Drosophila melanogaster: one gene and its partner. The protein of the gene in region 1 purifies or fractionates together with the protein of each later gene. This does not show direct contact. Each region holds a gene or a part of one and is shown in the gene's direction. Other genes may lie near its edges.

Evidence for each region.
Region 2: the proteins of Drep1 (region 1) and Drep4 fractionate together in Drosophila melanogaster (co-fractionation; 3 studies listed by BioGRID, with this or other methods). This does not show direct contact.

Annotation. Positions count from the first base shown.
Region 1 is NT_033778.4:12,042,683-12,050,713, forward strand, and holds Drep1 (DNA fragmentation factor-related protein 1), read left to right. Parts: upstream 1-1,929; 5' UTR 1,930-2,181; coding exon 2,182-2,226; intron 2,227-5,293; coding exon 5,294-5,509; intron 5,510-5,792; coding exon 5,793-6,064; intron 6,065-6,122; coding exon 6,123-6,483; coding exon of another isoform or gene 6,484-6,510; 3' UTR 6,511-7,490; downstream 7,491-8,031.
Region 2 is NT_033779.5:13,283,130-13,288,063, reverse strand, and holds Drep4 (DNA fragmentation factor-related protein 4), read left to right. Parts: upstream 1-1,601; 5' UTR 1,602-1,654; coding exon 1,655-1,894; exon of another isoform or gene 1,895-2,112; intron 2,113-2,238; exon of another isoform or gene 2,239-2,245; coding exon 2,246-2,369; exon of another isoform or gene 2,370-2,423; coding exon 2,424-3,412; 3' UTR 3,413-4,152; downstream 4,153-4,934. Other genes in the region: Uvrag (UV-resistance associated gene), read right to left, coding at 1-690, 751-1,124.

The DNA of each region.
Region 1 (8,031 bases):
ATGGTGTGTGAACTCTGGCAAGGGCAAAAATCCTACGCATTCATTAAGTTTCCATGACCGCGAGCTGCAAATGTCAAAATGAAGAGGTTCAAACGAAGTCAGCGAAAGAAAGTCCTCTTGAATTTTAACGAGGTCCTTTTGCATATCAGCTTTCTGTTCGTTAACAGGCAGACGCAAGCTGTTACTGAAAAGGACTGAGCCGTGTTAAATCGCTTATGTTATCCTTTTTTTTTATTGCGCAAAGGATAATTAGTTGTGTCTGCCCTTTTGGCCGAATTTAAAACGTCTGTGTCTGGACAAAAGATTAAGTTGTTAAGATGAAATGTTTTTTGTTATTCTGTTTCTTTGTTTGCTCTTTGTCCTTATAATCCTCTATCTTATGTGTATTTTGTTTTTTGGCTCAGTTAAACTAAACATTCTCGAGCGGCTTGATGCTTCTTAGTAAAACCAATATCGCCAGGCGTTGATTTATTGTTTTCCCTCGATATTGCCTATTGCCTGATTGCCCGTGAGGCAATTACCTGTCACCTGGCTTCGAGGTGGAGCTCAACCCAGATTCCGGCCGATGTGTCAACGTGTCCGTGGTCAATGCACCGCGGTGCATGCACGTGACCTGCGAACTGCAGGCGACACAGCCACCCACACAAGCCAATGTCCTTGTGCGTCCTTTCGAGTGACCTGCGCTTAAAATAGTCACAGCTACCACCCACTGCTGCTTCTCCTCCGCAGGACACGTAGAAGTTACTATGTGCAGTGCAATGACAGCAAACGGGGCAAACTGCCAGCAGCAGAAGCAGCATCAGCATCCGAGGAACCAATGGTGCGCACTAGGATGACAATTTAAGGCTGCCCCATCTCTGATCTCCCCCATACTTGCATGCCCACCTCTTTTCCGGGCTATTCAGTACCGTTTTATACGTGGAAAAACTTTTGAGAATTATATAAAGTTAGTTGATATTCGTATGACTAAAAGAAAACTACTCATTCCTATTTATACCTACATACCTTTATCCTTTATGGAATCCATTTGCTCAATTAGGCGCTGATAAGTATGCAATAAGTTATAGTTTTTATTAGTTTTTAGTATCATAACAGAATCTTTATTTTTCGCCGTGCACAAACTGATGAGAACCCAATCTGGGGCCACCTTCCGGCTTTGGCTTTCCTTTCATGTATTTTGGCCATTTGTCAAAAGTTTGCTTTTTGCTCTTCTTATCTGGACGGTTCGTTGATGTGTGCATGGCAATAGATGTATATAGATTTAAATGGGTGTTGGCCACTTGTGTAGAAAGTTAAGCGTAGTCCAACTGCTCTTTTGGCCGGGTTCCAAGCGGGCGAGGGGATTTCGAATTGACAACACCGGATATCATTGGGCTGATAATGCGCAACCCCTCCCAATGGACTAATTGAATCCGAAAGCACCTTCCGATGGAAATAGAGATTAGATTGCTGGAATCACCTTAACTTTTCAGCCAGGATTGTTCCAGCAAACTCTTTGTGTTTTCTAGGGACTAGGCCACAGCCAAATGTTAACATATTCAGCGAGAGAGAACGTGTTTTTGACTATGTTTGTTTTCTCTTTGTAAGCTTTATGTTTCAATATATTTAAAATTCTAATCTGTTTAGTGTTTTCTTTTAGAAGCACATTATTACCTATTTTACAAAAAATTGATACAATATTAATTAATTAAATAACCAAAATCTACAGGGAATAATTTATAAAAAAAAAAATATAAAAAAAAAAAGTGTTAGGCTTCAAAAATATGTTTACTTATCATGATTAAAAAGAAACATGGCCAATAGGACATAAAACAAATATTATTTGAACCTATCAGTTAACATTCATTTAAAAGCGAGCACTCGCAGTTCGAACTCAACATCTGTTAGAAGCCCTTTCTCTGCGTATAAAAGGCAGTGCTTTTGAGCAAAACGCGCTCATTTCAAAACCGGTGCTCATCGCAACGAAAGCTCCGCTGCGGAGCCGAGAAAATATTGTTAATTCCCATTTGAAGTGCAGCTTGTGGAAGGAAATTCCAAGTTTGTTTGTTCGGACGCCGAGTGCAAGTGCAAGAAGCAAGCGAAAAGTAATCAAATCTATAGAAAAGTCATTTAATGTGGAGCAATTAAGCCTGGAAATAAAGTGCATAGTGAATAAGTAATTTAGTTGGAGCAAACAAAGCCATGGAGACTGCAGCGAACTCGGGCGACTCCAAAAAGCCTTTCAAAGTGAGTTCCCCCTGTAATTGTAAATGGAAATAAAGGCCGCAGACGAACAATTGCATTTTAAGTGCATGCATTATTTTCCTGGCATGTCCATTTTTGGGCGTTGTTGTTTTCGCCTTTGTTGTTGTTGGCCGCGTGCTGCGTTCGCTACTTTTTTTCCTTTTTTTTTGGATTCTTATGGAAACTGGGTTGAACTTCAGAACTCAAGAGAGCCAAAAGCTCAAGCTAAGAGAGTGCCGAAAGCTCAGTAATAAGCATTAACTGCCTGAAATTTGACTTTGCAAATTCAAAAACACTATTTAGTTGCTTTCTTTCTCTTTGTCCTTTTTTTTACATGTTTGTCTAGCTTTGCATTTGCCTTTTGATTCGAGTATTGGGAATTGTTTGCCTTTAGCATTTGTTTTACTTGACTGCTGGGCCATTGTTTCCTGTTTAATTTGTTTATCTGCCGCTTAAACAGCAGAAAGCTGTTTAAAGTATTATGGGGATGTAAAAAACGTGCTTAAGGTTGCAGAAAACCACTGGAAGTACATGCAGCTGACAACTCAAAGGAAACCAATAAACCACAAAGCTATTTAAATTGTCTGTGAAACACAGAAAACAACTTTCGTAAAACATGACTGGAGATAACATCCAGGAATTCCCTCCCCCACTTTATCCATTAAAATGCCGCTCCTTATTAAAATATTTAATTCAAAAACCACCAAACGCAAATCGGCTTAAAAGCTGTCAAATACCATGACAGCCATGAAAATGCCATTAAAAAGGGAAAACTTTTCATCCCGACATGTCGCTGTAATTAGCCAACAGCCACGCCCACGACCCGCCTCAGGCATTTTGTTAATAATTTATTAAACAATCTACATAATGCCGCGGCATAGTTCAAAAGCAATTTAAAGTTGTCGCCTAATTTCCCCAGCGACTCGAAAATCTGCGGCCTACGCCCATCAAATATTAAAATGTCCTGCGACTTGTGGATTCTGCCCGCATCTTGGATGCAGATGATAGAGTTCCTGGCACGTCTCCTTCGGCTGCTCCTAAAACGGAGCCAGACGCCGGAGGTCGTTGCACGTTCATCTACGTACGTATGTGTGGACCAGGACCCTCGGGTCCTGATGGCTGAGCAGCTCGAGTTAGTTGAGATTTATAAGCCCTCAACTCGCTGCTGCTCTACCAATTTGCCCAAGTCGTTTTGCATACACTTTTGTGTATAAACTGGTCTTCTAGAAAAACACTTAACTGATTTCATCTAGACTTTCACATACATTAGCCTGAACTTGTAGTGATGCTAGTTTGGAAATTTGTATCTTAAACAGTAGCAAGTAGGTAACATTTGTGTTTGCTCATTTCAATATTTAAATATTATTCTTATATTTAAATATTAAAAAATAAAGTTTTACTTACCACGATGTGCCAAAAATTTGCTCTTAATGATATAACCTAATAGCATTTCCATTCAAGAAACAACTTGAAACACTTTTGAAACATGTTTACTTTCCGAATAAATCTTGTTTCTGATTTGTATAAGCTTTGTATAATTTTGCGGGTAATTAGATAAACTGCTAATTGAATTGCGACCGCTTGAAAAATCGACGCCACTTGAAAAATCAACTAATGCGATCGACTAAAACTTTTGACAAGTTTCCGAACAAAAACTATGCTTTTGTTTTCGATGCTGCCGCGACTCCCACTTGTCAAATGCGCCAGTAGTTGGGCAAAGTTTTCATTGTTACAAAGTTCTAGCCCCACACGCCGCATTCATGATATGATTAATATTTGGAGCTTTCGCGGCACAAAAGTTATGTGGCTTTAAGTATTTATAAGATAATTTAGGGACGACCTCCTCCGCTATCTGAGCAAATGGAATTGGGATGATAGAGCAGCTAGGCGCACGAGTAAAATGAAATGTTCGAAATGCAAACTCGAGTACAATTTCATTTAGTCACGGTGCTCTCAAATATTCATGAAGGACCTCAAGGAGTTGCACGCTGTCCGACGTTTCGGGGCTATAAATTCTGGGTGGAATGCATTCGTGCCGCTTGCTCCCTTAAAGTTGCGCCTCCTTGAGCCTCCATCTGGACGGGTCTAATTTATGTTTCGTTTAACCTTAGTGCTGAGGCATCATTTAACATCGCATGCAAGTTTAATAGAGCCAAAGGCTTGCGTCCTTCGTCCTTGCAACCGGCGAACAGCACTAACCTATGGCATTCGCGAAGGAGCATGCAGCATGAAGAATGCTGACATGCATAACTTGTCAAATAAAAAGAAAATTTAAAAGGATACGCCAGGGAATCGGGGAGTGGGAGATAAACGACAAATATTTGCACCGCAGCTGCTAGAGTGCATGTCAAACTGCGTTCGAGATCTCGAGCAAAAGTAGAGGAGCTCATGGAACTCGGCATTCGCAACTGAAATATGCACAAAGTCGTCGGGCTGTGGGAGGCACTTTAAGGTGGTGACATCCCCCACCGGGAAAAAGCCGTCCATAAATCTCAATTAGAGCAAATGGACATTTGACAGCAGGACATGACGTGGTCGCAAATATTGCGTTCATTTATTCATTGCGATTTTTCGGGGAATGGAAAACAATCAGCGTCGAAATGTGGTTGTGTATTTATTATTTAGCAACTTGCGCTACTATTTATCTTTTCTCTTTGTTTAATGGAATTTTCAAAGATTGCCTAATTAAATAACTATAAAAACAGGGTAAAGTTTGCGTTGAAAAGAGAAACAGACTGAATAATTAAGTGCAAGCGGGAGGATAATGAATAAATCAGGCGGAAAGTTTCCATAGTTTCTCCATTCCGTTCACGTTGTTGTCTCAAGAAAAAGGGTGCAGCTAAAGGAAAATTTACAACTTTTCCCATTTCGATGTTTTTCCGTTTTCTTATTTTGGGTGCCGACGATGTGAATATTTTATAGGACCTCAGTTGTTTCCCATCTGACATTAATTTATTATTCATTTGATGAGCGGGGCCATGTGTAACTGCTACTGTCTCCGTAATTGCAAACGTGTAATGGTTTATTATTCCCTTTTCCCGGCACTGTCCTTCTGCGTTTTTATGGCCAGGTCAAGGACGTAACACGCAACATTAAGAAGGCTGTCTGCGCCTCCAGTCTGGAGGAGATCCGCAGCAAGGTGGCGGAGAAGTTCGAGAAGTGCGACCACCTGCCCACCATCCACCTGGACTCCGACGGCACGGAGATCGATGATGAGGAGTACTTTCGCACCCTCGACGAGAATACGGAACTGGTGGCCGTCTTTCCCGGAGAACATTGGATCGATGTGAGTAGCCCTTAAATAAAAGGAAAAGGAAAACAGGCACTTAAAAATAATTATATCAGCACCTTTTTTATTTAAATCACCTCAATAAATTCGTTTTGCGATTGTGTAATTTTCATTTCTCAAAGTGAACACCGCTTAATTGGATAGCTCATTTTATGTGTCCCTCCTTTTATCTGCCATAATGACTAATTGCATTATTTCTTGAATGCCATGAAAGAGCTCCATGAGCATGGGACCAAAGCCAGGAAGATTAAATTAAATGCTATCTGCACTCTGTTTATAGCCCACTCACTACGTGACGATAACCACTCCACATGGCAACGAGGCAGGAACTGGAAACGGAGAGCTGAACGGAGGAGGCGAGGGCGACACCACCGATGCCAACAACTCGGAGTCGGCTCGCATCCGCCAGTTGGTGGGCCAGCTGCAGAACAACCTCTGCAACGTGTCCGTGATGAACGATGCCGATCTGGACTCACTCTCCAACATGGATCCCAACTCGTTGGTGGACATCACGGGAAAGGAGTTTATGGAGCAGCTCAAGGATGCGGGAAGGTGAGTTTAATTCCTTTCCCATATACCACTTAATTGTAGCATGATTTCATGACTTTAGGCCATTGTGTGCCAAGCGGAATGCCGAGGATCGTTTAAATCTGCTGAAGCTATTGAAAGCTGGTGCCATTTTCTGCTCGGAACGTTATCCCGAGGATGCGGAGGCCATTGACCGGGAGATTGGACGGCAGTTGAACGAGGCGGAGAGTGGACAGATGAGCACCACAACGACGAGCAACACCCGCACCATCGAGGTGGTGCAGTGCGACAATCAAAACACGACGATAACAATTACGGTGGGCGAGGCCACCACCACTTGCGCCACAGCCAGTGGAGCGATGGGATCCTCCGCTGCCGAAGCGGCTGCCAATGAGGCCAATGCCAATCCAAATAGAAATCCAAATGCCAACGGCGACATCTGACTGCCCATTTTGGGCAGTCTTAGGTAAAGTCTGCCGGCGGAAAACTAACGCAACTGGGTGCGCCAATCAAAATCAAGAGCCAAAAGGATATACCGAAGACATCAGTCCTGCAACATTGGGTTAACATAAATCGTATTTGTAGCATGTAATTAGGCACTGCGAAATCAGCAAAAACGAAACGGAGACGAAATCAAGTCATTGAAAATGCTTCATAGTATCTAAGAGCAAATGAAAGTTAACGAACAATACACGTACTAGATTTAAACACCGGGTCACGAGGCTCAAGAGAACAAGAGGCCCGCGCAGATTTGAAAAGTCTTTTAGCAATCACAGTCAGCGGAATCGTATTTAACCGCATATACACGAGTCACACCAAGCCGTACTAGATGAATAATAATCAAAGGTTAGCGAAATAAGTATTATACTTGAGGTAGAATCCCACAACCAGAGCGAACCCCAATTGGATGGAGTTGTCCCAGGAAACTGTTGATTTGCTTACCGTGTAAATTGTGTTACGAATAGTAGGTAGAGTGGAAACGCACATCAAATATTGTTTTTAGACCAATGCCATTGTGAATGTCATTCGTTAAAGGCCAATTGAGACTGACTGAATTTATGTGTAATAGGTTTTTTCGTGGTTTGAGCGGTTCGGGAAAGATCGGATGGAAGCCTCCAGCGCTGCTGCCCTGTCCTCCCAGAATCCCCGTCTTCCCGCCCCCGAATCCATAGCCAAATGAATTTAAGCGACAGCGCAAACATTGTTAGCTAATTAAACAATAATGGAACACAATAACGCAAATTGCAATTGCCCAATCAAAGTTGGTAACTGTAACTGTCTACAATTCGAATAAGCAATAAGGGAAACCGTAAACGTAAACGAAATCTAAAACCGAATGCAAACAGTGAACAATTATTAAATATAGTGAAAAGCATACAGTAAATGCAAGTGAAAACCCCGAGGCAAACTATATACACGAAACCAAGTAATAAATAAATGATTATTAAACTAAAGTTGATTGAACTAGCATAACTGGCAAACGGGGCGTATGCGCAACGCACAAAGCGTGTGCAACAGGGCGTATGGACTGCATCCTGCTCTTCCGCTGGCAAAAGAGAGTTTCCCCTTCCTTCACCGCTTCTTCCATTTCCCTTTTTTCCAGTTCGAGAGAGCAAGAGAGTGGGAGTCCTACACCTGCTGCTGCCATATAATTGCATTACTCGACGCCATTCTCTTTTGCCATTCAACTTCCTTCGTGACGTCACTGCACCATGACGTTTGCAGGTCCTGGCTAGCTGATTGCGATGGCCTACTAACACAGTTCAAAGCTCCCGGGTGACCCAAATTCGTGACGACAGCGCCCCACAGCAAGGGTCTCTTTGTGGGCGTGGCCCTGGCTTTGATGAATTGAATCCAGCGTCCTGTGGCCTTTGCATACTCAATATCCCCTACTAACACAGCACATCCCTTTTTCGGTTCCCATTCCTTGGCTGCTCTTTTAATTTGCGCCCTCGACGATTTTCATCCTGCTGGCAGGGGAAAAAAGAAAA
Region 2 (4,934 bases), on another chromosome or scaffold:
AACGTTTCCCGCTCCGCTTTAAGTAGCCGCTGTTGACTGCTTAGCGCTTCTATCCTTCTAGTTAGCTGCTGGGCATTATAAAGCGTGAGGGGCGCGATCTGCTGCTGCTCGGCGAGCAACACGCTCAGGGCGCGGCCCATGGAATGGTACTGATGGGCGGAGTAGTCGCCGGACAGCGATGTCGTGCGGGGCTTCAAGCGCAGCTCGTTCCTGGTCACACAGTGTACACTGAGGCGGGCTATTTCTCGGCAAACCTCGGCCATTTGACGCCGCTTCTGCTGATGCAAGCGTTGCAGACGTTGCAACGTGAGAAGCTTTTCGAGGTTGTTGCTTCGCCGAATCTCCTGCCGTTGGCACTTCAGCTGTGCATAGCGCATCGTACTCATTCGCAGCACGGGACTCGAACTACGACTAACGGCCGGCGAGTTTATGCCCTCATCCTGCGGCTCTTCTAGTTTCTCTTCCTCCGCATACTTTTGGTAGTGCAAATGCAGCTGCGACTGCAAGGCCTGCTCGCTTATCATCGACGGGGAGGCAAATTGCTCGCCATTCAATTGAAAGACCAAGCAATTTCGTCCGCACTGGGACAATGTGAGGGGAGACAGAGGTATAAGGCCGGAGAAGTAGACGCCCCAGCTGAACAGTAGTTCAGGAGGGCGTGGCAGCCTGCTGGGCGTTAACTGGGATCTTCTGGAAGTAAGTTGGTTGATGATAGCAGAGTTCTATTTGCAAGCAAAGTCTCCTATTTACCCGAAAACATCCTTATGTCTTTGCTCAACCTCAGGCGGTTGGCCATCTCTTCTTTCCGCCGAATAGTGCTTCCACACCTTGACACAGACACACTGCGCATTGGTTTTCCGCCAGGCCTCGTCGTCCGTACAAATCTCCGCCCACTTTTGCTGTTGGTGACGCTGCGGCAGCTTTTCGCTGGTGTAGAACGCTTCGCTAGCCTTGTCCGTGTGTAGTGTGTAGTAGAGGAGCACATCATCCGGATCATCTAGCTCCAGCGACTTCTCATGCGGCCAGGACTCAATATTGAATCCCTGAATTCTGTTAAGGTTCCGCAGTCGAAGTTGCTGGGTGGCTAGGGGCAGCCACTTGCGGCATCGCGGCCGTAGATTCATCGTAAAACGCCTTTCCGGGTGAGCTGCGGATTACGCGGAGCCCGTAGCCCAGATCATTGTACACTAAGACTACGTTTGTTATAGTTTTTCCACAGAAACTTTTAACAAAAAAAATGATTACCCGAACAGCTGTTTTTAGATGCATAAGTGCTGCAAAACACTGAAGGCAATAGTGGTGGGAAATGCGCCGTTCAACTTGTATTTTATTAATTTGGCTATTTTCATTTTATTAATTTACACATTATTTAATTTAAGAATAAATGAAAATTTTATCAATTTGAATTGATTAATAAAAATATAAAAAATATTTCGTTAATTACAAAACACGGGAAAAAATAAATTATTATTATATAGCTTTTTGCAATTTTTAGCTAAAATTGCAGCACAACTAAAGAATCTTTCAATGAGAATCTAGTGTTGAGAAGCGCGAAAAATGCCTTGTTCTGCTAGTTTATTTTGCTTTGTCCGCGGATAAGGAAACTTGCTGCGAGGACTACATTCCAAAGTTGACTTTATTATGAGCCAGAACGATGATCAGCTACATTAGAGATGCAATCATGTCACCGACAACACGCAGCAGCTCGAATAACAAGAAAAGCAGCCAGCCAACAGGCGAAGTTCTCAAGGATGTGAGCTCATCCGAATCCAGGGGAACAGCAGGTGCTCCAATGCGTGGCTACAAGGTTACTGACAACGAGCGAACGAGGAAATACGGAATCGGAGCCAATTCCCTGGAAATGCTGATAGCCAAGGCAAAAAGCAAGTTCCCGGTAAGAAAAAAAAAACAGGAAAAACTCCTGCGTAAAAGCGCGAAATATACACCCACCCACGTAGATGGGCTGAAAGTTCCTGGCTCTGGTAATTTTCAAGGCCATGTCCCTGGCAGTGGCTTCCGCGTTTGTTTGGCTCTCTTTCAATGCCACTAGTAAATGCCAATGCGCATGTCCTGTATAGTAGAGCTAACCACCTGTTGATGGAACGTCCTTGCCTGGCAAAAAAAAAAAAAGAGAAATGTGAAACAAACTGAAGGCCCCTGAACCAGGAATTGGGCGACCTGGCCTCGTTATAATTCGGCCATGTCAAGGGCATTACAATTAAATCGTTTTTTTTTTACCTTTTAGCTTCTCGAGCCACATTTGTATTTGGCTTCTGATGGCTTCGAGGTGTCCGACGATGAGTACTTAAAAAGCCTACCCGCCCAGACGCTGTTCATAGTGTCTGGCCCGGATGCAGTCATTACAACAGGTGAGCTGCAGTTTAAATATTTAACTTAATCACAATTAATCTGTCTTCTATTAGATGCCGATTTTGAGTTTGAGAAGATGCGACAACAATCGCCTTTGCTAAAGGTGGCTGACATTTTCTACGATTTTATCGAACAGCATCCGGAAAAGTTCCGCCGCATGATAACGGAGTATGAACACCAAAAGCAGCGACGCGTCCTGGATAACAGCAAGACCCACCTCAGCTTAAAGGCCGAGCACGTGGAGTGGTTCACGGGCGGCGAGGAGCGCTTCCACTCTAAGGAGGAAGCTATGGCCACACGTGCCCAGACACGTGTGCGAGGCTACTACTATAAGGCCAAGGAGGAGCTGACCCGCAATCCCTTGTACCGCCAAAATGCCAAGGCCCGACAAGTGATAAACTCTGTGCTGGAGAAGTTTCGATACCTGCTCATCGGTTGCGACTTTTTCTCCATGATGTTTGACCGGAATTGCAAGCAAAAGCATGAATTCCTGAAGCAGCACTTGGGCGACGAGGAAACAGACGCTGGCAGGATACCCAGCAAGAGACTGAGGCAGGTGATTAGGGAGTACACCAAGGAAAACTGCATCCTCGACGAATGGTCCACTTCCTTGTGCTCCGACTTGGGTGACTTCTATTGCCAGGGCTCCTATTCGGAGAATGGCAACAGCTGCTCTAAGCAGCACACTATTAATCCGTACGCTTCGCGTGAGAATCTCATTTTGTTTCAGGTCTGGAATCTGGACCACCAAATCGAACTGTGCCGCACAATCCTTCCCGCACTTGTTGCAAATGTGGAAGAACTTGTGAGTCATCCGCAGACCAAGTGTTCAATTCATAAGAAGCAAGTGGTCGATATCTCAGTACTGGAGTACTTTCTAGAAATATTCTCCCTAAAGAATCTCAAACTAGTGCACATTGTCTGTCATGAGAAGGCGCAGCGCTCAAACCGTTCGAATGGTCGCCTACTGTGCTCCGACTGTCATGAGTATCGCATTGTGCAAGAGCTGATGGAAGTCCAGGTGGACAGTCTAGCCACTTAAATGGTATGTGAGAAATATATAAAAGTTACCTAGCCAAGCAATATTGTACACAATAACTTTACAAAATGTATCTACGAGTTTTGTTGCTATTTTTAAACAAATATTGTATATTCAGTTGTTAAGCATATTATATTGCTGATCTCATATGGGATAAGTTGTACAAATGGAAATTATCTCGATGCCAACTATAAAAACTTACTGTTGAAGGTTTTTCATAGTAAATACGTAAACTATTAACATACTTAACATATGCATTTAATGTTCATATAGCTTTTCAAACTATTCAAATTAAGTGACTATGCAATATCGGTATATAATCTAGAGTTAAAAGTTAGTTGATTGTAACGCTAGTAGCTAACAATTTAAAGTTGGCGTTACACATCGATCAGCAAGTCCAAACTATGAAATATGAAAATATTGTATGTTATGAAGTATGTATACTCATGTAACGAATTTAAACAAAAACGTAACAGTATGAAAAGGTTTTGCTACACTTGGCTTCTCTGCACCTCTACAAGTGTTTTATTTTTGTATGGGCCATGTATTCAAGAGCCAAATCGTCGGTTTTATTTCCATCGATATTGTATACAAACAAGTACAAGTTTTTTGATTTGACTTCTTTATTTACTAAAAATGTTTACTGCATATAAAATTGTACAACACAAAATATAGTTTATTTATGTATCAAATAATAATATTCAAATAAATGTGCAGAACGTTCGTATGCATACGAACTAAGTAAAATAATAAATATTGATGACAAACAAAAGATAATATTCATAAATGAAATAATATTGTTCGCAAGTAACAAAAATATTTAATATATTATTAGTCGTGTTTGATGTGCGCTTTCGTGTTATCCGGATACATATCAAGCATAGTCGATTTCTTGGATTTTGTTTCGTTTCGTTGCTACCTCATTGCACCTGCATTCTTTATCTTAACTTTTAGGATTAGTATATATTCGCTTTCGCTATTTGCTTCGTAGTTGTGTTAGAATTGTTTTGTATGGTTTTAGTGCTGCTACCAAATCGCGTTCAACAATAAAAACTTTCGATTCTCAGTTACAATGATGTTTGTTAGTGTAAAGAAATTTTACTAAAAACTTGTTCCCGTTCCCAAGTTATTTGATTGTGGCGATCCTCAGAGTGTCTGGTACTTAAACTACATAACTATAACAAGCAATCTGATTAATATTCAGTTTCGTTTCGATTTCTTTATGATGCTGTTGAGTTGCTATAATTGATTTCTATGGCGTTGAGAAATAATTATAGATCCGATTGACCAGGTCCTGAAAAAGATTAAACCAAGAAGAGTGTTACTTTAAAATGGTTTTAACTGGCAGTGACAAACAAATAAAGCTAACACTAAATTGTGGAAACTTTCCAGTCTTGACTTGGCCATGAACACCGATTCAGGTTCAGACTTACGTACATAAAAAGTAAACGTAAAAAGTAAATAAAAAATATATAACAAAATCAGAAATATTGAAGCAGCAACTGAGAAAGTGCAAGTGCCAGGC